Xenopus tropicalis: one gene and its partners. The protein of the gene in region 1 purifies or fractionates together with the protein of each later gene. This does not show direct contact. Links are inferred from orthologs where the notes say so. Each region holds a gene or a part of one and is shown in the gene's direction. Other genes may lie near its edges.

The links. Proteins that work in one complex are often made in the same cells at the same time.
Region 2: the proteins of cluap1 (region 1) and ift46 purify together in Homo sapiens (affinity purification with mass spectrometry; 3 studies listed by BioGRID and IntAct, with this or other methods). This does not show direct contact. The link is inferred for Xenopus tropicalis from reciprocal best matches to the Homo sapiens genes CLUAP1 and IFT46.
Region 3: the proteins of cluap1 (region 1) and ift27 purify together in Homo sapiens (affinity purification with mass spectrometry; 3 studies listed by BioGRID and IntAct, with this or other methods). This does not show direct contact. The link is inferred for Xenopus tropicalis from reciprocal best matches to the Homo sapiens genes CLUAP1 and IFT27.
Region 4: the proteins of cluap1 (region 1) and ift57 purify together in Homo sapiens (affinity purification with mass spectrometry; 4 studies listed by BioGRID and IntAct, counting the BioPlex papers as one, with this or other methods). This does not show direct contact. The link is inferred for Xenopus tropicalis from reciprocal best matches to the Homo sapiens genes CLUAP1 and IFT57.

The regions. Positions count from the first base shown.
Region 1 is NC_030685.2:20,709,059-20,717,046, reverse strand, and holds the end of cluap1 (clusterin-associated protein 1), read left to right. Parts: intron 1-30; coding exon 31-172; intron 173-3,218; coding exon 3,219-3,291; intron 3,292-4,493; coding exon 4,494-4,607; intron 4,608-4,728; coding exon 4,729-4,784; intron 4,785-5,433; coding exon 5,434-5,613; 3' UTR 5,614-6,630; downstream 6,631-7,988. UniProt on the Homo sapiens protein: Required for cilia biogenesis. Appears to function within the multiple intraflagellar transport complex B (IFT-B). Key regulator of hedgehog signaling.
Region 2 is NC_030683.2:80,567,328-80,575,315, forward strand, and holds part of ift46 (intraflagellar transport protein 46 homolog), read left to right. Parts: intron 1-4,446; coding exon 4,447-4,526; intron 4,527-5,117; coding exon 5,118-5,311; intron 5,312-7,012; coding exon 7,013-7,084; intron 7,085-7,988. UniProt on the Homo sapiens protein: Forms part of a complex involved in intraflagellar transport (IFT), the bi-directional movement of particles required for the assembly, maintenance and functioning of primary cilia. May play a role in chondrocyte maturation and skeletogenesis.
Region 3 is NC_030680.2:123,413,960-123,421,947, forward strand, and holds part of ift27 (intraflagellar transport protein 27 homolog), read left to right. Parts: intron 1-2,791; coding exon 2,792-2,871; intron 2,872-3,046; coding exon 3,047-3,106; intron 3,107-4,011; coding exon 4,012-4,071; intron 4,072-6,318; coding exon 6,319-6,436; intron 6,437-7,497; coding exon 7,498-7,607; intron 7,608-7,988. UniProt on the Homo sapiens protein: Small GTPase-like component of the intraflagellar transport (IFT) complex B that promotes the exit of the BBSome complex from cilia via its interaction with ARL6. Not involved in entry of the BBSome complex into cilium. Prevents aggregation of GTP-free ARL6.
Region 4 is NC_030678.2:103,603,241-103,610,168, reverse strand, and holds the end of ift57 (intraflagellar transport protein 57 homolog), read left to right. Parts: intron 1-59; coding exon 60-178; intron 179-1,362; coding exon 1,363-1,453; intron 1,454-2,818; coding exon 2,819-2,890; intron 2,891-3,546; coding exon 3,547-3,669; intron 3,670-4,194; coding exon 4,195-4,266; intron 4,267-4,771; coding exon 4,772-4,903; intron 4,904-5,692; coding exon 5,693-5,755; intron 5,756-5,842; coding exon 5,843-5,909; intron 5,910-6,404; coding exon 6,405-6,583; 3' UTR 6,584-6,821; downstream 6,822-6,928. UniProt on the Homo sapiens protein: Required for the formation of cilia. Plays an indirect role in sonic hedgehog signaling, cilia being required for all activity of the hedgehog pathway.

The DNA.
Region 1 (7,988 bases):
TCCTGAGGTAACTAGAACATTTGCCAACAGGCCTGCATTTATGGATGAATATGAGAAGATCGAGGAGGAACTGCAGAAGCACTATGAGACCTATCTGGACAAGTTTCGTAATGTTTGTTACCTGGAACAGCAGCTGGAAGACTATCACCGAGTGGAACAGGAACGTTTTGAGGTAGTTTAATCTTACAAGGAAATACAGGTTCTTGTTTTTTTTTTTTTTTTGTAAACTTTATTTTTATTGTTTTTTTACATGTTTCATTGGTGCATTTATTTCACATGTTACATGTATATCTTTTTGTTTATCATAGAGAAAAAGGAAAAGGTTAGGGGAAATGGAAAGAGGGGGGAAAGGAGAGGGGAAACGGGAAGGGTATAAGAATCAAAAAAAACATTTTAACATTTTGCGCTCTAGGTCTCTAAGCTGGTACTTATTGTCCCTTACTAGCATTTCATTTTCACATTCACTTATTTTTTACTTTTATCCGTTTTATTTAGAGGGGGTCCTACCCATTGCATTGTGCTCGGTAGAGATTGTCCTTATTTAGTATCCAGGTGTCCCATATCTTTAGGTATAGGTCAGTTTCGTTGTCCAATTGATATTTGAGAGCTTCGTTGGCGTGTATATATTCTATTTTGTCCAGGACTTTCTCTATGGATAGTAGATTTGATTTCCATTGGGCTGCGATATGGATTCTAGTTGCCATGCATATATGTTGTGTTAAGCGTTGTGCAGAGTTATTGAGGCCTTGTAGTTTGTGTCCTAGGAGCATTGTCTGGATGTCCGTATGGAACATTTTAGAAAGGATAGTAGCTACTTTTGTCCAGAGTTCTTGCACTGTTGGGCAGGTCCACCATATATGCCACATAGTGCCTCGTGTGGCGCATTTCCTGAAGCAAAGTGGTGACGATGTGGGGTAAATTCGGGAAAGTCGTTTGGGGACATAAAGGGCCCGATTCACTAAAGTCCGAAATAAGGAGTGCTATTTATAGCATGCGTTAAAAATCTTATCACTTCTTATTTTTCGCTCGATTCACTAAAAGGACACTTGTCATAATTAAGAAGCGATGTTCTTGGCGTTATTTATCTTGCGACGACATATTTTAATGAAAAAAAACTATGCGATAAGCGTTATAGGGGCCGATTCACTAAAGGTCAATAACGCTTATCGCATCGTTTTTTTTCATTAAAAAGCATGCGATAATTAAGTACCGATTCATCAAAGTCATTTCGCATTTGTGTTAATCCGCATATCGCATGCACAAAAAAAATGCATTGCGTTAATTAGCAAATAGAAATAGTACAAACGCATGATTCACAAACACATATGAAGCGTTAAACGTGCAAAATATCGTGTTAATCTGTGTGAATATTAACCCTACTTGGGGCAGGCGGTACTTAAAGAAAATTGCAGTTCGTGAGCTATTGGCAACACAACATGGAGTTTGCAGTCGTATTTTTTCAAGTATATGTTGGCCCTAGAGTGATATATCCTCCAGTTTTCAGGGAAATGGTGGTTTTCAGAAAGTAATGGTTACGTGGGTAATATATTGCGCTCTGCGTAAAATATCGCGCGCTGCGTAATATCTTGTGCGCTGCGTAATATATTGCTTGAAAATATGTCGTCGCAAGATAAATAACGCCAAGAACATTGCTTCTTAATTATGACAAGTGTCCTTTTAGTGAATCGAGTGAAAAATAAGAAGTGATAAGATTTTTAACGCATGCTATAAATAGCACTCCTTATTTCGGACTTTAGTGAATCGGGCCCAATATGTCCTATGGAATAGTTTGAGTGAGGTTTCCATTATAGTTACGTTGTAGCTACCTTTGAATATATTTTGGTAGTTTTTGAGCCATGTTTCTTGGGGTATTTCTGTTTTTAGGTCTTGTTCCCAGTCTAGCATATGTTGCAGTTTATTTTTTGTATGTATATGATTTAGGTGGTGGTATAGTAGAGATAGCGTTTTCCGGCCCATTGGTGAGGCCTCGCAGATGGTTTCCATTGCTGTTTTATGCATGTTTGTTTTTCCCCATAGTTGTTGTATAAAATGGGTTATTTGTAGTGCATGGAAATGTTCAGTTGGGGGTACCTTGAATTTTTGCATTATTTGGGTTAGTTGTAAAGGTTTGGATCCGTCTGTGAGTTGGTAAGCAAAGGATATTCCTTGCTCTGTCCACCATTTGAATGAGTCCTTATTATATCCTGGGGTGAAAAGGTTGTTTCTCCATATTGGTGTCAGTCTTGAAGGCTTTGATGCTAGTTCATATTTGTATTTAAGTGTATTCCATAGTTGCAGCATTTGGCGAGTTATTGGTGATATGTCCTTGAGCATTTTAAGATCTTGAGTCGGATTCCAGATTAAGCTCATTAGAGAAGTTGGTTGTATTAGGGCAGATTCAATTTCGACCCAGAGTGGGGCTAGTGTTTCTCCATGAAGTGGGGCAATTTGGGCGCATCTTGCTGCCCTGTAATATTGTTGTAGATTTGGGACTCCGAGTCCTCCTTTTGATTTATGTAGGCACATTGTTCTTTTATTAATCCTTGGTCTTTTATTGTTCCAAATAAACGTCATAACAGTTCTCTGAAAGCTTTGTAGGTCTCGCTGTGAGATTGCTATGGGTAGGACCCTAAAATAGTACAGCAGTTTTGGTAAGGTCATCATTTTAATACAGTTAACCCTCCCCATCCAAGAAATTTGTTTCTTATTCCAGCCCTGCATTTCCTGTGTTAAACTTCTATATAGTTGGGGGTAGTTGCGTGTGTACATAGTGTCTAAGGTTCTTGTTTTTTTATCCCCCATTTATCGTTCATTTCCAAGTAATACTTGCAAATTTAGCTCTTACTAAGCCCATATTTTAAAAATCTTGGGTTTATATGCCTGGAAAAATCTAATGTGAATTGATATTATTTGCCTCTGTCCCATGAACTGACATTGCATATCCAAATACACTTAAATACCTTAAATACACTGACCCAATATCCCTACCCTTGTCCTGTGTTTTGTTTAAAGGGTTTTAATAATCCCTGTAAAATAAAACATGAACATCTCTCCTGCTTTTTTGGAGGCAGACAGGCCCTTGTATGGTTACTGAGCTGTGTATATAGGTGCTTGGGCCGGATATATTTTATATTAGCAGTGATTCCATGAAGTCCTGCTCAGTGTAATAGCTTGTATTCCTGTGTAACACTTCAGGCTGTATGTGCAATATCTTGCAGGAGGCAGAGAACACTCTGCGGCTGATGCAGAGCAAACTGCGGGAAGAAGAGAACAGACTGCACAAAAATGGCAGTAAGTATGTCTATTTGATATTTTCTGCTGCTTTAGGATCTCTGTTACCCCGGTATCCCATGTCTGTCTACTTGTGTCCTGCTGTTCTTCCTGAGCTGCAACCATCAGGCCCGGACTGGCAATCTGTGGATTCTGGCAAATGCCAGAGGGGCTGCTGTAAGGTGCCATAGACAGTCACTATTTATTGGGTTGGTGGGGGGCTGTTTGGGCCTCTGTGTACTTGGAATGCCAGGGCCTATTTTGACTCCCAGTCCAGGCCTGGCAACCATAAATACCAACATGGAATATGCCAACAGTAATTCATTGACCGCTGGGTGGCCACATTTTAAAGGTCCTTGCTAAAGGTATGGCCACATAAGGCTAGTTCTTGGCCTGTGGATGAACACAGGCCAAAATCAGCCATCAGGGCTGTGACACACGGGGAGATAAGCACCGCACAACAAATCTCCCTTGTCACAGGCGACTAATCTCCCCGAAATGCCATCCCACCAGCGAAAATGTAAATCGCTGGTGGGATGGCATACGTGGCGCCGCTATTTGTCGAAGTCGCGGAAGTTTCCTCTCAAGGCAACGTCCATGACTTTTACAAATCCTGGCGATTTACATTCTAGCCAGTGGGATGGCATTTCAGGGAGATTAGTCACCTGCGACAAGGGAGATTTGTTGTGCAGCTACTAATCTCCCCGTGTGTCACAGCCCTTATGCTATGACTAGCCTGCCCATGGGTCCACTGCTTCCAGTCAGGTGCAGGCACACAGAGCAGATTTTGGTACCAAAATGCACTCGATTTGCCTGTGCCTGACACACTGGATCCGAGTACAGTCCAATGGTAGGCTGATCGGAGTGTAGGGGGTGAGCCTGGTGTGGCATTGGCCTTAAGCTGAGGGCACATAAGGCACAGGCTCAGCCTCTCTCTGCCTGCTTTGTCCATACAGGCTGGATTCCCTTTATGTAAGCTCTAAATGATATAACAACAAGGAACAGATGCGTGTAGCCAGGCTGTACTCCCCTGGAGCATTGTGCTAATAGCCTGAAATCTAGTTTGTATATCTGCTTAAATACAACAAACAATCATGGACACTGAGAGAATGGAATAATATAGAATATAGATGCCCTTGTGAGGTAGAGTCCACACTGAATTTGTCCCAGGAGGTATCCATTCATACTCAGCTTGACTTTAACTCTCACCTCTGCTAATACAGACAACAACGATGACTCAGACATTGAATTCCAGGAAGATGAAGGTTCTGATGATATGGACCCCATGGAGAGGAGAACAGTGAAACCTAACAATGGCCGTATGGTAACCATTCAAGGTAAACAAAAATTGGATTCAACTTGCCATATGACAGTAATTAGGATTAAAATGAGGGTTTAGTAATATCAACTACTTATCATTTGCATCATCTGGAACTTATACTTGTTGTTTCCTAACAGGGAGATCCAGTAGCCACATCGTGGGGACGATGAATGGAGGAGAGAGCGAGGATGAAGTAAGTGCCATAGGCCAGATTTTCTATTCCACTATTGCCCATGATGCTGCACTGTGCTTTACTCAACCTGTATCCAGTCCTGTCCATACTCCATTTCCATAGCAGGAATATCCATCTTTGACCCTCAAGCTGTTTTTAGCAATGACTCTCAGCATGAAGGACAAGGAATGCTGGGAGTTTTAATTCTGTAACAGCTGGAGGGCCACAAGTTGGGCCTTGAGAGGTCTTGCAGTTACATGTTTTTCCCTACACATATACCCTGCACTTGTTTATTTTGTCCCACCTGCCATTCTTCTTTTTGGGGTTATTTCTTACGTTTCTCTGCGCTTTCCATGTCTTTTTATTTCCTTGCTTTCATTACGAGGTGGTGGGGCCGAGTCCTACTAAGAGGCATAGCTCAGAGGCTCACAGCAGTCAGAAACAGGTTGGTATGTTCCCTACCAACACCTTATGCGTGTCTCATTGGGTTAGACTGCAAGTAAGAACCTATTGCCAGTGTCTGAATGCAGCTCATACGGTTATTAGACACGCCTTTAGCCACTCCCATAGTAGTTCCTGGTGTCACACAGGAGAACCTTGTGTTGTCCCACCAACAGCAGCTGTAGTTTTAGTAACGGACAGTCTTATAAGCACCATTTTCAACACACAGGATGATTCCGATGACAGTGAGATAGACGTGGATGATGAAGATGATGAGGAGGAGGATGAAGATGACGATGAGGAGGACATCATGAGGGTGAGAGGTCACAACAAAGAAATATCTTTAGGCAAAGCTAGTCGGCGAGCACAGAAAGCAGATTCACTTGTGGAAAGTGACAATGACTTCTAGAACGGACCAAATCTCCAAAGCCTCGGGACTAATGCCTTCAATTAACTTTGTGTTATAAATGCACCTCCTCTAGAGCATGCAACTAGGAAGTACCACCTGGTTGTCAGGGTCACTGACCCCAGTAACCAAAATAATCACATGAATGTCAGGGTTGAGCTTTTTTCTTTTCTTTTTTTTTATTGTTATTTAAGTTACTCATCTTTCAAACTCCTGCATGGTTGCTAGGGCAATTAAGCCCCAAGGCAGAGAGCGGCAGAACAACCATAACTGTAAATAATTACAAAATAGAAAATGGAGACTAATTCAAATACTGTTGTCTGTATCATGTAGAAGGTTACTTTTAAGATAAATTCTTTATATAGACGTCTAGATTCTGTTCAAAGATGTAACAGGCAGCAGCCCCCATGTTGGGGTCCAGGAGAGAAGGGGCCTGGTAAGAAACCTTGCCCCGCCTATGTTTATGTCACATGCCCTGCAGCAGGGGGCCAGCACCGAATCAACATATGATTTTAGGGAATACGTTAAAGAATCAAAGCACTTGATTGGCGAGAAACACAATTTTAATCCTCCTGTGCATTTATACCGTTATACTTCCCAGATACAGAGCTAAAACACTACATTACAGGCTCTCAGGTCTGCACTGAGATTCCAAATAGGCCCTGGCATTTCGAGCCCCAAACAGCCCCAGCCCAATAAATAGTGACTGTCTATGGCATCTTACAGCAGCCCCTCTGGCATTTGCCAACAGATTGCCAGTCTGGGCCTGCTGGCTCTGCATGTCTCTCTCTAATAGAACTGAGGCTTTTAATTGGACAGTAACCCCCAATATAAAAACCAAATGGATCTTTCAAGCTGTTTGGCAGTTCCATTTCCGTAATCAGCATCTTTTATTGTTGCTATTCTTGCAGACGTGACAAAGTTTGACTTTTGAACTCTATAGATTTTTATGTTGCAGGTAGTATATCCAGTTTTGTTAAACTTGCTGTTTATTTCTATTGTTAAATAAATAAATGAATGGATATTGGAACAGAAGCCTTTCACTAAGTGCACTCTTCCTCCATCAGACAGATGATCAGATCTGTTTGCTGTTCTGGAATTGTCCCAAGCCAAAGACACTATACAGGCAAAAGTATCCGGACACTCTGTCTCAGAATTTCTGGAAGCAACATCAGCAGAAGAACTATTTGTAGGAAACATGGGGGGTTTTATAGATGATCAGAGCAAACAAACCAACATTAGCTTACTAACAGGGCTGCCACCAGTAATCATTGGGCCACATTCTTCTAATTCAGCTGGGGCCCCAGTTATTGGTCAGCTTGGCCCTCTAGGTGGTGAGTCCTGCCAGCAAGTAAAATGGTGATTCTGTTTAAAAAAAAATGCCACTTACATTCATGACTACACCCCTGATCTACCCTGGTCTCTAACAAATTACACCAAAGCTCTACAGTCCTCCCAAACTGCCCACTCCCCTGCAAGCCCTGCCTCTGTTGAAGAATGAAAATCACTCTTTTTCCATCCCTGAGCCCTTGACTGCAGTAACCCATGACTTACCCCCGATGGTGGCCCTGGTCACTGCCAGGCACTCCAGAGCAGGGCAAATACATCGGGGAAATCTCTCTTATGTTCCAGCACAATACAGCCCCCAGGCCCCCAGTCAGAGCGATAAAGAGTTGGTCGAAAGAACCTGATTGGCCTGCACTGAGCCCTCAACCCAACTGAACACTTGTGGGATAAACAAAAACACTGACAATGATCACACCCTGACACCCAAAATCAGTTCCCAACCTCGCAGGGGCTGTATGGACCCAAATTTAACCGTCAATTTCCCAACATCTTGTGGAACCTTCCCAGAAAAGTAGAGGATGTTATAGCAGCAATGGGATGTCCAACCCCATGTTGATCATCTTGGTTTGAGAATGAGATGTTGAAGAGGCAGGCGTCCAGATACTTTTGCCCATATACTGTATGATGGGTTCTGATGGCACCTATATGTATGTATGTATATATATATTTACAGTCCTTTATTAATGAAACAGCTTGTGGGATTGTGATAAAGAACATCATCCGTTCCGGTGTCAATAACAATCTCACAGTTGATGCAGCTTGCATTCCAAGTACTTACACTGTTGTACTGACAGGCAAGAGAAGAGCGCAGTGTCACAACTTTGGCCAACTGGTTTTACAAATAAGTTAATTATAGGTCCTGGATGGTTAAAAAAATCATCTGTATTCAGACCACTTCTGTATTTACCCAGTATGTCAGTGTGGGGCCCAACTGGATACTGTAATAATGCTCCAAATTAACTGTATCCACTGGACAGGTATAAAACGTGGCGTTCTTAAGACGTTTGTGTCTTAAGGAGTTTGACTTGACA
Region 2 (7,988 bases), on another chromosome or scaffold:
TAACAAAGAAGTAGGCTAGAAATACTGCACCAGCCCAAGATGACCATAGCCCTTTGAAGTGAAAACCTGTGACTCCAAAGATGCCAAATTCTAACATAGTGACCCCCTCTGAAGGTCTGAATCATTACAGTTAAGATTCAGAAACTTTAGGCTGATGCAGTAAGTATATCAAATACATAATTTCTACCCTTTAAAGGGGTTGTTCACCTATGAGTTAACTTTTAGTATGATGTAGAGAATGCTATTCTGATATTATTTGTAATTGGTGTTCATTTTTCTTTTTTTTTTTTTCCTCAATGATTTAAATTTTTGTTTAGCAGCTCTCCAATTAGGAATCTCAACAGCTATTTGGTTGCTAGGGTCCATATTAACTTAGCAACCAGGGAGTGGTTTAAATTAGAGACTGGTATATAAAAAGGAGAGGGCCTGAATAAAAATATATATAAAATGTAACGGTAACAATAACACTGTAGCCTGACTGGGCAATAGTTTTTTTTTTTTTTGCTGCTGGGGTCAGCTGCAAAGAGTTAGGAAAAAAAGGCAAATAATTCAAAAACTATATAAAACAAATAAATAAACAATGAAGATTCATTGAAAAGTAGTTTAGAACTGGTCATTCTATAACACACTAAAAGTTAACTTAAAGGTGAACCACACCATTAAGGAAAATATAAGTGCTCTTTAGTTAAAGAACATACTCTGTAGGGAGCACCACGCACACTTACAATGTGCAATAACTGACAGGTTGTGCTTACTTCTTAGATGTATGGCCACGTCGCAGTAGAACAATAAAGTAGAACAGAAGTCTGTCTGAAGGGAGGTGCAGAGCCCCCAAAATGTTGTTCATTGTGGTTACAGTTGTTAATGAACAAGAGAATTGCACAGCAAAGAAGTGGTGAGTGCTATGGCTTCTGTTCTACTTCATTATTCGTTAGTTGCAGCCCCAACCCCAATCTACTTGATAACCACTTTAGCACTCGGCTTGCTCTTACTTGCTACTGACTCTGCAGTGGTAGCCTCACTCTGCGTCTGATTTATGAACCACTCGGCAATGTACTGTCTAATTGGTAGTTTGAAAAAGAAAGCAAAGAAATGAATGCATGCTATGGGTAAGTGCACTGGTTTAGTATAGCACCTGTATTGGTAAATTAGAATCATTGTGACCATATGCTGTTTACCGATAATAAATTCACACAGCTGACTTCTTTTGTCACTTCAGTGGGCTGATAAATGGAAGCTTTGGCTGAATAAAGGAGAGCTAAAAATATTTTCTGTGGCAGAACACATCTTGTGCAAGAGAAGTGCTGATAGCAGGCAGATAAGCTGCTACTGCAGATACTGCTTAATATCAGTACAGGTATAGGACCCGTTATCCAGAATGCTCGGGACCAAGGGTATTCTGGATAAGGGGTCTTTCCGTAATTTGGATCTCCATACCTTAAGTCTACTAAAAAATCAATAAAATATTAATTAAACCCAATAAGATTGTTTTGCATCCAATACGGATTCTTTATATCTTAGTTTGGATCAATATCAAGGTACTGTTTTATTACTACAGAAAAACCCCTTATCTGGAATACCCTTGGTCCAGAGCATTCTGGATAACGGGTCCTATACCTGTGTGTGTGTGTGTGTGTGTATATATATGTATGTATATATATATATAATATATATATATATATAATATATATATATAATATATATATATATATATAATATATATATATAATATATATAATATATATATATAATACATGTTTTGCTATACACATGTTTATTCCCTTTGTGTGTATTGGAACAGAACAAAAAAGGGAGGAAAAAAAGCAAATTGGACATAATGTCACACAAAACTCCAAAAATGGGCTGGACAAAATTATTGGCACCCTTTCAAAATTGTGGATAAATAAGATTGTTTCAAACATGTGATGCTCCTTTAAACTCACCTGGGGCAAGTAACAGGTGTGGGCAATATAAAAATCACACCTGAAAGCAGATAAAAAGGAGAGAAGTTCCCTTAGTCTTTGCATTGTGTGTCTGTGTGTGCCACACTAAGCATGGACAACAGAAAGAGGAGAAGAGAACTGAGGACTTGAGAACCAAAATTGTGGAAAAATATCAACAATCTCAAGGTTACAGAGATCCAGAGATCTAGATTTGCCTTTGTCCACAGTGCGCAACATTATCAAGAAGTTTGCAACCCATGGCACTGTAGCTGATCTTCCTGGGCGTGGACGGAAGAGAAAAATTGATGAAAGGTTGCAACGCAGGATAGTCCGGATGGTGGATAAGCAGCCCCAAACAATTTCCAAAGAAATTCAAGCTGTCCTGCAGGCTCAGGGAGCATCAGTGTCAGCGCCAACTATCCGTCGACATTTAAATGAAATGAAACGCTATGGCAGGAAACCCAGGAGGACCCTACTGCTGACACAGAGACCTAAAAAGCAAGACTACAGTTTGCCAAAATGTACTTGAGTAAGCCACAGTTCTTCTGGGAAGACGCCTTGTGGACAGATGAGACCAAGATAGAGCTTTTTGGTAAAGCACATAATTCTACTGTTTGCCGAAAATGGAATGAGGCCTACAAAGAAAAGAACACAGTATCTACAGTGAAATATGGTGGAGGTTCAATGATGTTTTGGGGTTGTTTTGCTGCCTCTGGCACTGGGTGCCTTGAATGTGTGCAAGGCATCATGAAATCTGAGGATTACCAAAGGATTTTGGCTCGCACTGTAGAGCCCAGTGTCAGAAAGCTGGGTTTGCGGCCGAGATCTTGGGTCTTCCAGCAGGACAATGACACCAAACATACATCAAAAAGCACCCAGAAATGGATGGCAACAAAGCGCTGGAGAGTTCTGAAGTGGCCAGCAATGAGTCCAGATCTAAATCGCATTGAACATCTGTGGAGAGATCTTAAAATTGCTGTTGGGAAAAGGCCCTTCCAATAAGAGAGACCTGGAGCAGTTTGCAAAGAAAAAGTGGTCCAAAATTCGCGGTGTAAGAAGCTTATTGATGGTTATAGGAAGCGACTGATTTCAGTTATTTTTTCCAAAGGGTGTGCAACCAAATATTAAGTTAAGGGTGCCAATTTTGTCCAGCCCATTTTTGGAGTTTTGTGTGACATTATGTCCAATTTGCTTTTTTTCTCTCCCTTTTTTGTTCTGTTCTAATACACACAAAGGGAATAAACATGTGTATAGCAAAACATGCTGCAATACTTTTCTGTAAAATACTTGATTTTGTGGAAAAAATTCTGGGGTGCCAACAATTTTGGCCATGACTTTATATATAGTAAAATGAGGATCGAAACGCGTTGATGCGATGATTAAATAATAATTTTTTACTTCAAAATTTGCCTGGGTGCAGCATCCAAAATTCGGAAACAAAGTAGAAAATGAAGAAGCCGCTCTCACAGGACTTATGTGAAAAATAAAGATTCCTTTAATGAATAGTGGACTGACGTTTCGGCTGAACACCTCAGCCTTTCTCAAAGTGAGAAAGGCTGAGGTGTTCAGCCGAAACGTCAGTCCACTATTCACTTTATATATATATATATATATATATTATACACATATATATATTTATATATTTATATATATATATATATATATATTTATATATTATATATATATATATATATATATATATATGTGTATAATATACACTCACCAAAAGGATTATTAGGAACACCTGTTCAATTTCTCATTAATGCAATTATCTAATCAACCAATCACATGGCAGTTGCTTCAATGCATTTAGGGGTGTGGTCCTGGTCAAGACAATCTCCTGAACTCCAAACTGAATGTCAGAATGGGAAAGAAAGGGGATTTAAGCAATTTTGAGCGTGGCATGGTTGTTGGTGCCAGACGGGCCGGTCTGAGTATTTCACAATCTGCTCAGTTACTGGGATTTTCACGCAAAACCATTTCTAGGGTTTACAAAGAATGGTGTGAAAAGGGAAAAACATCCAATATGCGGCAGTCCTGTGGGCGAAAATGCCTTGTTGATGCTAGAGGTCAGAGGAGAATGGGCCGACTGATTCAAGCTGATAGAAGAGCAACTTTGACTGAAATAACCACTCGTTACAACCGAGGTATGCAGCAAAACAGATTTAAGCTGCTGATTCGAGCCCTTTAGACCAATTTGGCAGCTTAGCTGTCTGTGTATGGGGCCCCCTGATGGGCGTACCAAATCGATATCTGGGTGTTGATCGGTAGGTTTGATTTTCCTGTTGGATTGGGGATCGCATCAGCTCATTGATACGGCTCCGGTCCTACTGCACCTGTGCCTGCTGTTTATTTAACCCTAGGGCCAAATAAAAGAATTAGCCCGATATCGCCTACCTTGTTTGCTGACCTCCCCAACGAATGGGTCTCAACATGTTTGACCACTTTGAGCCATGTTTTTAAAGCTTTTACAGTCTTGCAGTCCATATATTTTTTCTCCTAGGGACAGCAAAGCAGATGTCTGGCAAGGTCAGAGGCATGGCAGAACTTGCTATCAGTAGTGAGGATGAAGAGAGCACAAAGGTAACCATAGACACTATTTTATAATATTTTACAGGTTATAACACAAAGTTTTCAAATATGGGATATACTTATTGGCAAAATATCCCAAATCTTTATTAGACAGTAAGTTAAATATAACTTTTAGGCTGTTGGCACTCTGGGTGCATTCTATGCTGACTTATTTCAGTTGAAAAGTGGTTTAGCTAAAGTTTCACTTAGTTGTATAATATCTCTGGTACTGTTTGCTTTTCACCATAAAATATATTCTAAAGAATATTTTTGGGCTGAAAAGCATCATTACTACTTCTAGTACACTTTGGTAATAGTAATGCCAAAGTAACATAAACTGTATTTGAGAATTCACAGCAGTGCCAGCTTCCTGGGTTTCCTGCATGAAGCACAATTTTTCTAGTAAATTATCCTCCAGTATCACTCTAAAAAACAAAGCCATTGAACCTATTAAATGCTTGAACTAGGACTGCAAATCACTTGTTGGTTTGGAATGTTTGCCAGAAAATGCTAGAGAATGCATAGGCAATAGGTGCCATTCCAGCTGTAGTGTGGCTACACACTTGCCATGTGTTAATTTCATTTATTGTGTATGCTTTCCAGAGTGGAAAAAAGAAGAAGGCAGGAAAGCTGGGAGATGTTCGTGGTGCTCGCACACAAGGGCTTACAGATGATGAGGATACAGAAGATACTGAAGGGGATGATGAAGATGATGATGATGATGACGACAACGATGATGATGACGAGGATGATGATGATGATGATGATGAAGAAGGACATGCAAATTCTAATGAAGGGTGAGAGAAAATTAATATATATACTTTCATATGCCAGTTAAAACAAAAAGGCAGTTTTCAGTGGTATGCTAATGTGAATTTTAAGATGAAAAAGTTACATGGCTATTGCCATATTTGTTGTTCTTTTGCACCCTTAATTGTGCCTGAAAACAAGAACAATTCTCTGTTTTTGTTATATAGTATTTGGTAATTTTAGTTATAGTGTCAGATTAAAAATACTGCTGAATTTACTGTGGCATATTGATTTGCTTTTTCTTGTATTAAACTTTTTTCTGCCATTTTGCATTTTAAGTTTGCAGTACAGTGGTGTAACAACAGTATTAGCCATCTTTTGTTATATGTTATTTCCACAACAGGCTATTCTATAAAGATAGCTTACAAATCCATCAAACATGAAAGGACCACTGAGTTGTGCCAAGAATAAGTAGACATCTTTCCATGCCAAAACTGTCTAATTTCTTTTAAAAGCCTATATTAACAAATATAATAACGGAAACTGATACCTAACTTGATAACTGCCTTACTAATATCCACAAGGGTCTTGTTACATGCACATTAAATATTCTGTAATTATAGTTTTCTTTGTTACATACATGTATGATCAAATACCAAGAGCACATTATTTTAACTGTCTGTCATTTGTAAGGCTAATGGCCCACCACATGTATTCTCCCTTGGCAAAAATACCTTCAACTTGCACGTTGCTTTCCATTAACTTTTTTCGGCAGAAAGCCACTTGAATATACAGCTGCAGGCAGTTGCCATAAAAGGGCTGACAACACATGGTTTGACATGTTGTTTGCTGATAGGAATCAGTCAGTGGAGAAAAGCTGGTAGAGGACTCCCAACTTTGCAATGAATTAATTATTGTGTTCGTAAGTCATTTGAATGGACAGATTTGCCTAGTAAGCTAAGGGCAAGGGCCCGTGCACCTGTGTTTTGTAGCCAGGCAAAGAGAAGTGTATCTGCTCCTATTGACTTCTAGTTTTAGCTGCACTGACAGGCACATCTTCGGCCTTAGTACAGTTACATGGAGTGAAGCAGAGATTTGCCCAAAAATTGCATGCTTTTGCTGGGATCACCAGTAAGTGATTAGAAAGACTGCTGTAAACTCATTACTATTTGGCTCTTTAAATAGTTTTCTGTAATTATCAGCATTCACATGAACATTGTAATAACTGGTAGTTGTGCCATATTAAAAAAATAAAGTAATACAAAACTTTTGCTGTCAAAAAATGTTATCATCCGATTCCAGACAGAAATAATATGTAGGCACGAAGATATGATGTGTGTTTTAAGGTCTATCGTTAAATATAAGTATTTATTTTAATGTCAATATTTTGATTTTGCTGGTGGATCTTTCTCAAAACAAACACCTAAAAATTCTAAGATGACTGGCAAGTACAGTATTTGCAATGCTCCAATACCACGCCCCCATTCTAGAGCACAAGCATACAAAGTGTGCTTAGCAACACAACATATCATACTAAAGTGAAATGTAAATCTCACCTCATCCATACACAACTTTAGGTCTATGGAGGGATGGCAGTGTAATATTTAAAATAATTCACAGCTGTTATGCTTATAGGCCTTTGAAATATCTTTACATTTGTACATTATTTTTACTGAGGTAGCAGAATGGTAGATGCTTTCACTGTGAATACTGAGTTTGACAATACTTGCTCTCTCTCCCTCTTGTAGTTACAACCCAGCAGACTATGAACACCTTCCAGTGACGGCTGAAATTAAAGAGCTGTTCCAATATATTACCAGGTAAGAATAAAGTAAAAGTAAAGAGATGATACTGATAGTGCCATTGACAAAGTACAAATGGTTTGTAGAAATATGGTTACGGCTAGTTTTTCCCTACATGTTTCATTTATTTTTGTGTGCCATTAGCCTCAATGGTATTTAATTTTGTTCAGTCAGCAAAGAGTATAGTTTGAACATCTGCACACTTCCCTCCAATTATCCAATTATCTCTATTGTATAGTACAGGGGTTCCCAACCGCCAGGCCGCGGACCAGTACCGGGCTGTGGGCAGCTTTTAAGTGGGCCGCCTCTGTTCCTGCCCGCAGTAAAAATGCAGGCGATACAAAGCATAGTAGCATTAGACTCTATTCTATTTCTGGGGTATTGTTGACAAGTTTTGACCGATTTAATTTTGCCACCCCTAGCTAAAGAAAATGGGATGAAATGTTAAAACCAATGCCATATTACCCATATATTGTCCCATAGTTGACCTAGATGAATGATTGCACTTTGCAGCAATATCTTATGAGATTAGACTCTTAACCTGTAGAAGAAGGGTATTTTTCTATTGATGTTTTAAGGGGGGCAAACGCTTGTTGGTACAATCCATAATTTGGATCAAAATTAAAAAGTAGGGTTGTTTTGCAATAATATACCATTAAATACAAGGAACTGTTTACAGAGGAAATAGGGTTTGTTTTTTTGTTTTTTTTTAAAAAAAGGTCATTATTTGCTTAAAATGGACTATTTAGGAGATGGCATTTCTGTACTCTGGAGCTTTCTTGATATCAGCTTTTTAGTTATGTTGTCACATACCTGTATTTTATTTATTCTTTGCCACAATGATATTAGTTGTGCTAAGACTTAAATCCCCTCAGTCCTTGGTTTAGCATGAGTGTAAAAGAGAGTCAGCCACCCACTTCCA
Region 3 (7,988 bases), on another chromosome or scaffold:
GCAGGGAAGATCTGTGCCCCCAAAGATGCCCCCAGTAGCCCCCCATATTCTTTTCTGCTGATTTCCTGCCCATGCTGCTGGCACTTACTGAGCTTAGGGGCCCACTCACAATATACTGTATATATATGATATAAATGTCACAATACAAGGCTGATTTGTACTCAGTTCTGATTAGTATTACATGGCATCTCTGAAACCAGCACAGTTAGCATTAGAATTACATCATGAGCCTTTTATCATAAACTTCTGTAACATGCAAACCTTAATTTTCTGCTTGATGGTTTGTGGAGATACCTAAGCTTAGCTTCTCAGCAGCTGCCCAGAGCACACTGAGCATGTGCAGTGTCACTGACACTTCTAACAGAATCCCAAATGGGGAGCTCCTGTACACAACTTTGACAATTTTGAAGGCCTAAAGCATTACTGTTATAGAAATGCTAAACCTTTAGGCTGGTTCAATAAAGGTATAGTGACATGTTCCAGTTTTTAACAGGAATTTGTCACTCTGCCTTCATAAACCCTAGCACTGCAATTTTTCTCTAATGAATGTGCTCCTGCCTCCCCCCAGTTTACCGTTTTCTGCTGCATGGCGTAAAGTTGAGCAGCTTCCTGGTTTACGTTACACTGTGGTGGCAGGGCAATGTTCTCATTGAGGCACTGTTAGCATTTGTCCTCCAGCCTATCAGAACATTGTCCCAACCCCAAGTGTGCAGAAGCTCATAAAGCTGTTCAACTTCAAGCTGTTCCGGAGACGGATACAGGTTAGTAAGGGGAGAGCTGGGGGGGGGGGGGGGCATTTCTACCCATGATGTTTTTTTACGGTTTAGTTCTCTCTTTTAATGGTTGAACTAGACAGACTATTGTGTTTTATGTTCTGGTTGTGTGTATAATGATAAGCGTGCAGTGTTGTAGCACAGAGTAAGTCGTCCATCAGCAAAGAATTGGCTTGTGTTATTTTCATGATTCATAGCACATAAAGGTAATTGTGATAAATGGAAAGCTCTAATTGCCTTAAATATATGCTTTATCTTTTTATTGACCTTTATTTTAACACCCCCATTTTTTGCGGCTTATGCCTTCCCTTTATATGAGATTATGCACCCTCGAGGGGGCAACAATAAAAGGGCACGGCGTCCATTTATTAAAAGCCTTGTGATAATACCACTGTTTACATGACACTTAAAGTTACAGCTACCATGTGGCCTCAATTGGTGGAGTAAGTGGCAGTGTTGATTATATACATTACCATATTATGTATAAAGAACACAATACTGCCCAACAGGGCGCATGATTATGTAAGGGAAGAAATTGCATGTCTGGAGTATGTTAGCTGTGAGTGCCATTAAACAGACTAGTGAGCAGCGGAATTGCTTTACCCATAATTACAGACCCCTGAAGAGTTTATTGCGCTTGTATTAAGAAGCCATTGAGACCTTTATTGGTACAAAGTGGAAGAAGGGGAATGTCCCTGGCTTTGCTACGTGATATGGCGGGTGGCTCTGTGTTTGTGCTCACCGAGTTGCATTTATGTTGGGCAGACCAGACAGTGTATAAAGACTAGGCACATAAAGTGTATTTTGCAACAGTACTATCAGCTGGGTTATTTGTAGAATATTCTAAGGGAGAATTTACAAGGAGGTTAGGGATGAGCATTGGTTTTGGTATTGAGAAAAATAATCAAATCTCTGCCTGATGAACAAGAATCTGCCATTTATAAAGCACGTTTAGAATCACCATATTATAAACATTGCTAATTTTAAGCAGGTACTCAGACAGACAGAGCCAGGCTAAGTCAGGGAGGTGCCAAGGCAAACCCCCAAACCATAGCTCTCCCCTATGCTTATCTCTCTGATACAAATGGCCTTCGTGTTTTGGTACTATCCAGCATGAAACGCATTCGGTCATTTGTACCCTTCACAATTAAAATAATTTTTTTTTTTTTTTTTACTATGCCTGTCTCTCTATTGATTCTTTGAGCGCCTTCTTATAAAACACATTTTATTGGATATTGTGTATCATTTTAAAGGGGTGGTTAAGTTAAATAATAATATGTTATGGAAAATCCTATTCCTAGAAATTTGAAATTGTTCTTTATTATTTATTTTTTATAGTTTTTAAATGGGAGTCACAGACCCCAGTACTTAAAAAAACTATCACTGAACTTACAATTTTATCATTTTTACTTTTTATTCCTTAATTTTCTTTTCAGTCCCTTTCTAATTCATATTTCAGTCTCTCGTTCAAACCACTGCCTGGTTGCTAAGGTAAACAAGACCTTAGCAACCAGACATCTGCTGAAATTCTAAATTGGAGATCTACTGAACAAAAAGCTAAATAACTGAAAAATCATAAAAAATGAAAACCAACTGCCAGTTGTCTCAGAATATCACTGCCTGTGTCATACAAAAGTTAATTTAAAGGTGAACCTTCAAGCTAAAGCCCAAGGACATGTGTTCCTCGAATCATATAGGGTGAACATTATTCTGCAATATTTCATCGAACAAGGTGAGAGGAGGGCTTGAGTATTTCTGCTGAGGAGGGGTTAGGAAATGGTCCCTGCGAATCAGAGACAGGCTCTAATGGTTTCCTCTCAATCTGAGGAATCGGGCATGTCTGTGTAAAAAATAAATCTATATATTTATTTCTGGCAGGTCAGATAGTGTTATGCACCATTTTAGCATAGCCCCAACTGAAGGAACTCATGTCAACAAGTGGGATATATTTTCCTTTAAGAGCTGAAATAAAATGTTTTGAGTGAAGGTGTGTGACATATGTTCCTTTGCTATCACAGGTGACACAACTGTGGGGAAAAGTACCCTGGTCCAACTCTTCCGGAGTGATGGGAGCCATTTCCCAAAGAATTACAGTATGGTAGGTCATGCCGAATAGAAATACATTGAATTTATGGTGGATATAGGCTGCAGGGTACCAACGGGATTGGGAAGTAGTGTCTGGGTTTCTGGATTTTGCATGTTGTTGGCGCTGTGTACATTTGATCACCAGTACTGACATTTTCTAAACTACAATGTCATTTTTTGCCTTGCAGACCACTAGCATGGAGGTTTCTGTAAAAAACGTTCAGATACCAGATACTGGAGATAGTGTGGTAAGGGTGCTTTTCTGATTTGTAAATATCGCTCCTGTAGAAAGCAGTCTTTTTCTGGCCCTTTCTGCACAGCTGGTTCTGACTTTTAAAGCAAAGTAAAAGAAGCCAGCTCTCATTCAGCCAAGACTCCCACAATGCTTTGAATGTGTGTTCACAGCTGGCTTCTTCTACACTGGTTGTAGTTTTGTTTTTTGTTTTTTTTTTTTAACAATTTTATTTTATTTTCTGTAGATTCAACAATTATTTTCCTTTGCAAGGTTAATCAAATAAGGGTTGGTTGGAGAATCGGAGACATTTGTGAATAGGGTTGCCAGCAAAAGCCAGACAAAGGTTGTGGGACCAGGCCCATATTTACCCATATAGGCACTTTAGGACCCAAGCTTAGGGCAGCAGCTTTAGTGGCGATGCTCTTGACTGGTGATATGGGAAATAACATTTTTAGCAGAATTTTTTTTTTTTCACCAGATACGTGCCAGCTACATCCAAAATGGATAGGGGGTACCTGTTTGGACAAAAAGTGACGTAATGCATCACTTCCTACCATGCACAATGATGTGGGGTAGGGGGGTGCGCTGGTGATGTCAGGGGTGGAACCGTGATGTCTGGGGCAGTCCAGTAGGTGGCAACCTTATCTGCGGATTGGAAAATATGGTTATAATATATTTCCCAGATGGTAGGGGTTAACAGCCTGGGGCAGCACAAGCTATTTATACCCACTTGGGTAAAGTTAATTTAACCATATATGCTCTGCCAGTTGGGCATTTTGCACAAATAATAATTGGGCCATAAAACATTAAGCCCAGGGTCACACCTCTCCGCTAACCTGCCTTTTCTGTTTTGTCCATTATGCAGTCTGTTCTGAGACTTCACATATAAGCCCAGCTCATTCCATTGTTCCTTTACAGGAGCTCTTCCTCTGCGACAGTCCTGGCAAAGCAATCTTTTATGAGGTGACGGAGAAGCTGGTAAGTCCCTCTGTTCATTCTGACAAAGCTACTGAAGCCAATCCCGCCGTGCTGAGTCTTACGCAATCCAATCTGAAGCACCTCGCACTATAAGGCTCCTGTCTTTTCTTACCTAATAAATGGTTAGGCTGTGAAGTATACAGCTCCTTTCTACTTGATCCAATCCAAAAATAAATCAGGCAGTTGTAATGCTGGTTCCATTTAAGCTCATGATTATGTACAGAGGTCATTTTATAAGAAACATTATTACCCTGATTTTTCCAATTATAATGGTAACCCACAATGTTTTCTTCTTCTTTTATTCCACGTTAAATGAGGGAAGAGAAAAGAAGAAAAGGGGAGAGTTGACACTTATTTCCCTGTGTAACCAAGGCCCTGGAGAATGCAAATCATTGCATGACTGTGCAAATATGAACACATCTCTTCTAGTTGATTAGTAAGGTTTTAAAGAACCCCTTCTTTTAGGGAATCAGTATGGCAGCTTCTGTCTTAGAAAATGAATGTCCTTAGCAATCAGTAAGGAGCGGCATCATGTTTTACAGCAGTGGTTGTTGGACTTTTTCAGTTCAAGCCTTTAATCAGGTCCCCCTTTTTGCTAAAAAGATACAGGTCATTTAGCTTTAGTTTTAAGAACAACAACAAAAAAGTTTTCCCCAATTGAACTCAGGTGTATCTTGGAGAGCAAGCAGGCATTCTCCCAAAATGTCACTGCAACTGACCTTCAGGTTGCCACCCACCTACAGTCTGCTGTACAGGAATAGAGGAGCGAATTAAGGAAACCCACTCCTAAAATGTACTTTAACATGGAATACACTTAAATGGGTAGTTCACCCATATAGAATGACCTATTCTTAGCAACTTTTAAATTGGTCTTTTTTTATTTATAGTTTTTAAATTATTTGCCTTCCTCTTTTGACTCTTTCTAGCTTTAAAAAGGGGGTCACTGACCCCAACAGCCAAAAACTATTCCTCTCTGAGGCTACAATTGTATTGTTACTTTTTATTACTTATCTTTCTATTTAGGCCCTCTCCTATTCATATTGCTGCCTTTTTCAAAACACTGCCTGGTTGCTAGGTGAAATTGGACCCTAGCAACCAGATACCCTCTGAAATTCCAAACTGAAGAGCTACTGAACAAAAAGCAAAATAATTCAAAAACTTCAAATAAAAAATAAAGACCAGTTTCAAATTGTCTCAAAATAGCACTCTCTACATTACTGGGGTTTAAAGCTCAGCTAGGTCAGAGCAATCCTGGGCTAATTCCTTCTGCTTTGCATATGAATAAGGATATCTCTACAAAAATGTGTTTCTTGTGGATCCACTTCCCTGGCTTTACATATGCTAGGGGGGAAAACTGGTCTGTAGTTGGGAATTTGACCAGCATACTGCCCTGCCTGTTCTTTAAAACCCAATGGGTAAACTTCAGCCTATAGGGCAGTGATCCCCAACCAGTGGCTCAGGGGCAACATGTTGCTCACCAACCCCTTGGATGTTGCTCCCAGTGCCCCCAAACCAGGGAGTTATTTCTGAATTCCTGACTCGGTGGCAAGTTTTCGTTGAATAAAGACAATAATAACTACCAAATAAAGCCTCCTGTAAGCTGATGTGTGCATAGAGGCAGTCTAATAGCCAATCATAGCCCTTATTTGGCTCCTCCATGAACTTTTATGATGCTTGTGTTGCTCTCCAAGTCTTTTTGCATTTGACTGTGTCTCACAAGTATGAAAGGTTGGGGACCACTGCTATAGGGTATCCCATATAACTAGAAATTTTAGGAGCAATCTTGAGCTTTCTTCCCAAAAGTCATTCTGAACCAAGGGTTGCCAAAACAAGCAATTATCAGCAGCTTTCCAGAGAGACTCACCTCTTCCCAGTCATTTTTGACGAAAGAGACTCCAGAGAATTGGTGGACTACTAAGATGTAGTAGAAAAAGGCATATGTTGATAAAAGATCCAATGTCTAATTCACTAGTACAGGCTAATTGAGTACTTTGAGGATAGGCAAGGATAAAGCTTCCAGAGTAACCAATGCATTTCTCACATGAGAATATATGGACAAACAGCGATGCATTTATGATTGTGTATAGAAATGTGTGCCCATCATTTACAGGATCCATGTGGGTACCCTATAATGGTAATTAAAATGAAAATATATGTTTATGGGGGAATGTAGGAATTAGAAATAAGATTTTTTTGTAGCATTTCTATTTTTAATGCTGCTTTCTCTGAATGCTCTTTTTCATGCAGTGGGACCAGCCGGGTGCCCTGTGCTTGGTGTTTGATGTCACCAATGAGAGCTCATTCAGTAGCTGCGCAAAGTGGTTGCAGAGAGTTAGAGCGAAGACATTCAGCCCTCAGCTCCCAGGTTGGTGCCAGAGAATGGAAAGTTCCTTTTCCTTGTGTAGCATGCATTCATTTCTCTCTTATTTTGTGTGTCGCTGATTGAAAGGAGTGAAAGGGCCTCAGGTACTAAAGGCAACAAAGCAAAAAACAGTTGCTTTTTTAGCCACAATGCAGTGTTATTTTGTTCCCTAAATTTCATTGTCACTACTCATCAGAAATGTTGCACCTACTGCCAGGCACGGAATGCACAAATGTGGGCATAAAATACGTCCTTTTGTAAATGTCAGACAAATTGACATCAATGCCACAATATTACAGCTTGCTTGTTGGTTAATGCAATAGAAACCACATACAGTATGAGACCTGGGAGCAGTGCAGTGTGGAAGGTTCCCTTGCACCTGTAGCTCAGCATGCTGCACCACATTTTGCAGTTGGTCTTCATTTTTTGTTATTTGTGTTTTTTTTTTTTTTTAAATTATGTAGCTTTTTGTTTAGCAGCTGTCCAGTTTGGATTGAAGTGGCTATCTGGTTGCTAGGGTCCAATTTAACCAAGCAACTATGCAGTGATTTGAAGGAGAGACAGCAATATGAATGGAGGAGGGCATAAATAGAAAGTAAAAAAAAAAAGTAACCGTAATGAAAAAAATTGTAGCCTCCCAGAGCAATATGGCTGCTGGGGTTAGTGAGCACCATGTGAAAGCTGGAAAGTCAGAAGAGCAGGCCTGGATTTGGGGAGAGGCCACAAAGGCCCGGGCCTAGGGCGGCACAACTTGAGGGCGGCATGCAGCCCCACCACACCAAAATTTTGAAATTTTGTTCTGTTACAGAGCAATGGGGACTTCTCCCCACTGCTCCGTATGCAAGTTCGGTCTTCCGCGCATGCACACGCACCCGCTGTTCGCACATGCGCACTCCTGGGGGCTGTTGTTGGATGGGGAGATGACCAGGGAAAATCCGGCCCTGCAGAAGAGGAAGACAAATAATTCAAAAAGTTTAACCGGAAGGTAAACCATCCCTTTAATTCCTTGCTCCTATTCCATTCTTCCAGTTGGCTAATAGTGTCTACCTCTTTGCTTTTGTAAGGTGTTCTTGTTGGGAACAAGACAGACATGGCAGGCCGCAGAGCAGTGGAAAGGGGGCAGGCAGAAGAGTGGGCAGCAAGCAATGGACTGGAGTATTTTGAGACGTCTGCGGTAATAATCTTTTCTTCTTTTCTATCTTTAAAAGAATAATCACACAGTCCTTCTGTAATAGGAGCCTGTTAACCCTAATGGAGCAGCCCATTGGCACAACTTGCTGTACAGCTAGGGACAACAATACAGTCACTGACAGTGACAAGACCAGACAGACTATTGCCTGGCTCTGCTGCCAGCCCCAATCCCCAGCAGGGAACGCTCCACAACAGGGCCTGCACAACTGTGCCACACCAGGTTCTGTCATGTGTTTATAGTTTTTTGGAGATTATTCTTATGAGGCATACAATATGGCACCTCCCGTCATATTTATCAGTGCAAACAATATGCTCTCTGCTAAACAGGAAGTTGGTCCAGAGAACCTTTGATTTGCCCCATACA
Region 4 (6,928 bases), on another chromosome or scaffold:
TCTTTTGTGCTTTTTTTGGAGTCTTTAATCTGATAATTTTTTTTTGGCTTTTTTTGCAGGGATATTCTGTAGATTTTCCACCTTCTAGGCTAAAGGCAGGGTATGGAGAACAAGTGTGCTATGTGCTTGATTGTTTTGCAGAGGAAGTCTTAAAACATATTCACTTCAGCTGGAAGAGGTTGGTTATGTTTTCTATTGGATAGTATTGTTTGTAGATTGTACATTAGATTGGACCTTTATAGATTCAGTATGTGTGTGTAACCTGTACAGCTACTGTACACTCTCCAGGCATTCCTTTTGTCTCTGATAGTGGCCTTGCATGTTGGCTCAGCAGCAACTACTGTTGTATTTATATGTGCATGTTTATTTTTAACAGCTATGTTATGTTCTATAAGAGAGGTTATCTTGGTGAATGACATTTGGCCACTGTATATTACCTAGCCAATTGCATTCTTAAAATCCGCTATGCCAAGAATGGCTGGGGCAGATTTATTATTGTTTGAGCCATTCAGCTTGAGGAATCTTTAAAGGAAACCCTGCGTAAGTTTAGGAACTCACAGGGCTTTCGGGGGCAAAAAGGCCTCATTAGTTGAGGTATTTTTCACCTAAAAGCTGCCAAACTTTTTCTTATTTAAGAAAGCCCGCTGGTAGAAAAATACCTCAATGAAAGTTTTTTTTTTTTCCCCGAAACCCTGCATGAGTTTAAAAAACTAATATTGTCATCATGAGCTCTTGACACTGTTTCTGGAGCACATACTTTCTTTCTCTCCCCACTTAAGAAGCCCATGAACAACTGAAAAAGTTTCTAGAATGTCACTGCTACATCCTAATTATAGGTTTTTAAAAATCTTACCTTTCATTGGTTAAATAACCATACCCCAGGAAGATTTCAGATGCAGGGGCATTTAAATAGGTTTTTATATAATCCACAGAGAAAAGAGAATATAATATTACACATGCTTTTTGGTGGAAGCACTCCATGACTCCGCAAAATGTTAACAAGTAGGGGCCCTAATTCATATGTGCTTTGTAAACTGATGATAAATGTTGCATGGTCTGAGTGCCAGAGCATTAAAATGACAATATAATTATAATAGTTATAGTTTGTTTATTCACAGTAATAGCCTACTACCTGATTTTGTTTCAGAAATTATTTTAAAGAATAGTAAATAAAGTAAGTTAACATTAGAAAGATTATTATATGCTGGTGCCTGTTAAGAGGGGGTGTTAGTGATGATAAATAAAGTAAATGATGCAGGGGAAAGCAGAAAGTAGTATATTTGTAGGGTTCTCAGTGTAAGATTTTTATAAGTATGTTTATTGTATCTAATCTGTCCGTTGCCATGTTCTGTATCATTATAGGCCTACATACCCAACAGAAGAGCAAGACGAAGAAAATGTAATTGAGGACGATGCTGAGTTGACTTTAAACAAAATTGAAGATGAAATTGCTGTGAGTATCTGCACGGCTTTTGTATTTTAATGCAATTTGTATCCCTAAAGGCACAGTCAGTTAGAATTGGTAAAAAATAATAGGGATAGAAATATGAAACAATCCTAGTTTTAGTTTAAGCTAGGTTTAAATATCTTGTAGCTCTCTGTTCCATAAGAATCCACTGGTTCTGCCCACTGCAAGATTGCTGGCATTGCAAAATGTGACCATGCATGGGAATGCCCAGATTGCACCTTTCTGACTGTTTGACCCAGGCCACATCATGTGGAATTTCAACTGCTAACTACTGTGGGTCAGAACATGACCCTATACATGAGCAGGTAATGGTCATTTTTCAGAAATGAGGGAGTCAGTTTGATAACATATTGGGTCGGATTCACTAAAGGTGGTTAACACGTAACGCATAGTTTTGTGCATTAAAAAGTGTTCGATAATTAAGTACCGAATCATCAAAGTCTTTTTTCATTCGTTACTACTCATATCGCATGTGCAAAAAGCCTGATTATGGCAAAGCGTTATTTCCATCGCATTGAGGTAATTATTGAATAGAAATAATACTAACGTGTAATTCACAAACATATTTGAAGCATTAAAAGCATAAAATGTGGCGATAATTACTGTGAAACTTAACGCCACCCACGAGTAGGCGTTACTAAACAAAATTGCAGCTGGTGATTGTCTGTGGTGACAAAATGGACTTGTCATGCATCCTCCAGTTTTCAGGGAAATGGTAATTTTCAGAACAGTAGTTTTCAGAAAGTAACGGTTACGTGCGCAATAGCGTGCGCTAATATCGCGTGCTACGAAATAACGCATAAATATATTGCATGGTTTAAAATAACTCTTAAAAATATGTCATTGCCAGAATAACGACAATTACATCGCTTCTTAATTCTGACAAGTGTCCTCTTAGTGAATTGATCCTTAATTCTCAAAATATAAGAAGTGATAATATTTTTAACGCATGCTATAAATATCACTCGTTTTTTCGGACTTGAGTGAATCGGCCCCATTGTGTTGGCACAACTAAAAAAAGGTAATTAATGCTATGCCAGTGGCATGGCGCCTAGCAGAGCAGTAAAGAACTAGGAAGCAGGTTTCTAGTTATGGCGGTCACTTATAGCATTGAATAGAACTGCCAGGCCTAGAAAGAGCACTGGCTAAGAGAGGGTTAAAAAATGCATGTTCCCTTTAATGTACCTTTTAAGAATAACTTTTTTTTTTTTTTACTATGTAAAGGCATTGGATGTTTTCCATGGAAAATTTAAAACATATACTTGTGATGTGAAATGATGCTTATGCACATATTTTGTTGTCTATGTACTATACATGTATAAAAGTTAACTAAAGCTGTATCATTTTTAGGAAGAGGATTCTGACAATGATCAGGAACATTTTATTGATTTAAATGCTCTTTCAGCACAAACACAGAAACTGGTAAGTTACATTTTTGTTTCATGAATGTAAATATACGATATATATAGGCTTTTAAAATGATTTTATTATCCACTTAATTCTAGGAATACAATGTCCTAGGGATGACTCTTTGTTCTTCATTTACTAGGATAGAAGCAGTGCTCCCCTTTAGGCCTTTTAATAGTGAAGAAGCACAAAGAGTGAAACACTGAGGTGCAGGTTCAAAATTTTAGCCCCTGTTTTCTTTATAAGTGGTGGAAATTGGGCTGCCAAGCTCTGCTGGAGACCAACTGCCACCATGGCTAAAGCAAGACAGAACTGAAAGATTCTGGGCACGATAGGGATGAAGTTAGTTATAATATGTCTGTATCCTTATGATACTTATTCAAATAAAACAAAAAAACATGTTCCATATTTCTAAGTAAGACTAACATCGATTTTAATGGGGGAGATTCTGTTATTGTGCATACAACTTTACCTATGTTCACTGAGTTGCCGTAGAACTTTCTCAGATGAGGCACTCTTTATAGGTTTTAAGAGAATAGTGCCACCTAGTAGATGTTTATTTCTGTGGAGAATGTATAACATCACAAGATACCAATTTGTTATGCATTAAAACTGAGTGCTGAATGGCCTTTTGTAACTTCACATATAAACCTATTTCTGTATTACTTTAGAATACAAAGGAATCTTCCAAACCAGAAGAGATTTTGGAATCAAACACAGATGCAGCAGAATGGATCCTAGAAGTGGAACGTGTTCTGCCCCAGCTTAAAGTCACAATCAGGACAGACAACAAGGTCTCATTGTTAGACATCATTCTATTATTCCACAGCACTTTACAGAGTTGATCAGTGCTCACATTATTCCCTTCCGCAGTGGAGCTTACAGTCAAGTTTACTACAATAAGCATATGCACACAATAGGGTCTGTTTATCGAGCAACTAAGCCATTCGGTGGTAAGGAAATGAAGGGTCAGCTGGAGGAAACACAGTCACAGAATAATTTAAGGCAGCAATGCTAACTACTAGGTCACTGTGCTGCCATTTTGTAAGTTTGTATTTTCTGCCTCTATATATGGTAGTGTAAATCACATAACCTTATCACTGTCTGACCTCTGCGATTAGTGTCTGTGACTTTATAAACTTTTTAACCAAGCTTAAACAGTAATGGATTGAATTTCTCCATTTCATAACCGTCATAACAGTAGCTGAGAAAATCACAATTGGCCTGCTTTTTGTAATTATCATTTGGTCAGTATTCTAATTACCAGTTAGGTTTACTTTTCATTTATTTATATTCATATTTATATCTTTGGCTTATAGGACTGGAGGGTCCATGTTGATCAGATGCACCAGCACAGAGATGGCATTGACACATCCTTAAAGGAAACCAAGGTAAAGTTTTGTTTAGGGTTTTTTACCTATGACCCATATTCAAAGTTAAAAAGAGTTTGGGAACAACACAAGCTTGAAAACAGTTCCTGGGGTGCCAGAAAGGGCAGTTTTTGCTATTTGGTAGCCCCATGTGGACTGGCAGTCTATACTTTGTTTTTATGCAACCAAAACTTTCCTCCAAGCCAGAAATTAAAAAATAAGCACCTGCTTTGAGGCTCCTGCGAGCAGCATCCAAGGGGTTGGTGAGCAACCTGCTGCTCATGAGCGAGAGCCACATTAGCAGGCATAACTTTTGTACAGCTACATTTTGTGAGCCATAATATTGTGTGTGTTTGTGTAAATCTGGAAAATACTTTGACAGAGAACAGGAATACGGAATTCACTGACTTAACCTATAGATTAGCACATTATTGAGTGGGAAATAACCATGTTTTTTATTGGCAGTTTTATATAATAGATGGGTAATGGATTTTGTTTTTTTGGTTTTTTTTTGTTTATACTGCAGGGATACCTTGACAAACTTCACAATGAAGTTGCCAAGGCACTGGAGAAAGTTAGTAGCCGTGAAAAGTACATCAACAATCAACTGGAGCAGCTGGTGCAAGAGTATCGATCTGTACAGGCTCAGCTGAGCGAGGTACCCTCACATTCTCACTTCATTGTTCTTCTGTTTTTCTTTAGAAAGACAAATTAAAAACTGTTCAATTCAAGAAGTGCAGACTTAAGTCCTTAATGCAGTACCAAGGGATTTTATCCTTGAAGGCTACTACCATTCACAAACTACATTACACAGTATCCCCACTACACTGTGTGAATGCCCTGGATTCAGCCCCACTGAATGCAAGTCTTCTCAGCCTGACAGAATATGCACTAAGGCCATGGGTACATGAAGTGGAAAAGAGGGAATTGTATACTGTTAATCTTATATATCTCACCATGACTAAACATGAAATAGCTTCAGTTTCCCTGTTTAGCTCAGGAACTAAGAAAAGATTTTCATGAATGAATCAAGAGGCAAAAAATATCTTCAGAACAAGCCCTGTTCATAGGACTTATGTTGAACAACAGGGTATATTGTAGCTGCAGCATGGTGGCACTCACTGAAGGCGTCGCACAATGTTTTAGCTATATTTTTACTTGTAACATAGGCTTGCCTTAGGTGAATTTCTGTTTATTGTGAGTTGCAGACATGAATAACACAGTGTTAGTCTCTTGGAAAAAGAGTCTTTCAACTGTATCCTTTCTATTTTTAGAGACAGGATTGTAGACAACAGTTACTGATGAGAGACAAAGACCAAGGGTAAAGAGGGGTGTATGTTTTGTATAATCTTAAGTGATTTGGCTTATATGTAATTGATACTGTACAAATGAATGTTGGGTTAATATTTTTACATGCAAAATTATATTTTCGGGTTTCCTTTATTAGGCAAAAGAAAGATACCAGCAAGCAAGTGGAGGGGTAACTGAGAGAACCAGAATCCTCGCTGAGGTAAAGCATTTCCTTTAGTAATAACAGATGCAGTGTCATCATGACTTCATTCCTACTTTACATATTTCCTTTGTGCTTTATTGTCAGATAACAGAGGAATTAGAAAAAGTAAAGCAGGAAATGGAAGAAAAGGGGAGTAGCATGACTGATGGTGGTGAGACTTTTTTTTATTTTATTTGTTTATTGTTTATCTGGTGTAACTGGAAAAGCACATGACTTACCCAAAAATCATTTCCCCAAACAGGACTAAATATTAAGTAGCAAGTTACACAAAGCTTAACTTTCTTATAACCTTCTCTGCAAGTTGGTATAGCATAGGCCAGCTGTTGGCAGTATTTACTAACCTGGCCTCCTGTTTGCTGTCTGTTTTGTGTGTGTTTACACATACAGGTGCAGCTACTTCTAATGTACATTAGCAGACTCCCCCAGTGACCACAAACACTTACTTTTTAGCCAGGTGCACCTCCTCTGTAAATAGCACAGCACCCTGGAGTACCTTTGTTTAGTGCTGTGCTACAATCATAGGCAGATAGCTGGGAGGTGACTGAAGATGGCAGTAGGGCACTCAGTAGAAAAGTAGCCAAGGCTGGTCTGTTTGTATTAAAGAAGAGGAGTAAAACTGATTTTATTTATTTCATTTTTCCTGCAGCACCACTGGTAAAGATTAAGCAGGCATTAACAAAGCTAAAACATGAAATTGTCCAGATGGATATAAGAACTGGGGTAGTGGAGCACACGTTGCTTCAATCAACGCTCAAGGAAAAATCCAACATGACTCGAGATATGCATGCCCTTAATATTCCTGAATCCTCAATTGGGGCCTACTGATTGTAAGCTTCTATGCGCCATTTCATATACTGTATAAATCTGTTTGTAAAAAAAAAATTTGAATATATATTTTTGTTAACTATATAAAAATGATTTTAATATTAGTTTTATTTTTTTGTTTATTGAATTTTGGCCAGTCATTACTAGTTTAGTGAAATTGTGGCCTTCTTTATGTTTGTAAGTGTAGTGGTTTGTTAAGTTTGTCTCTACATAAATAAACCATGTACAGAAACCTACATCATAAGCAAATTCAGTACCTGTCCAGCAGGGGGCAAAGGGGTGAAGCAGTTGTGTGCAAGTTGCTTTTTGTCAACATAAGTTCCTGTGCTACAGTGTGCTTTGATT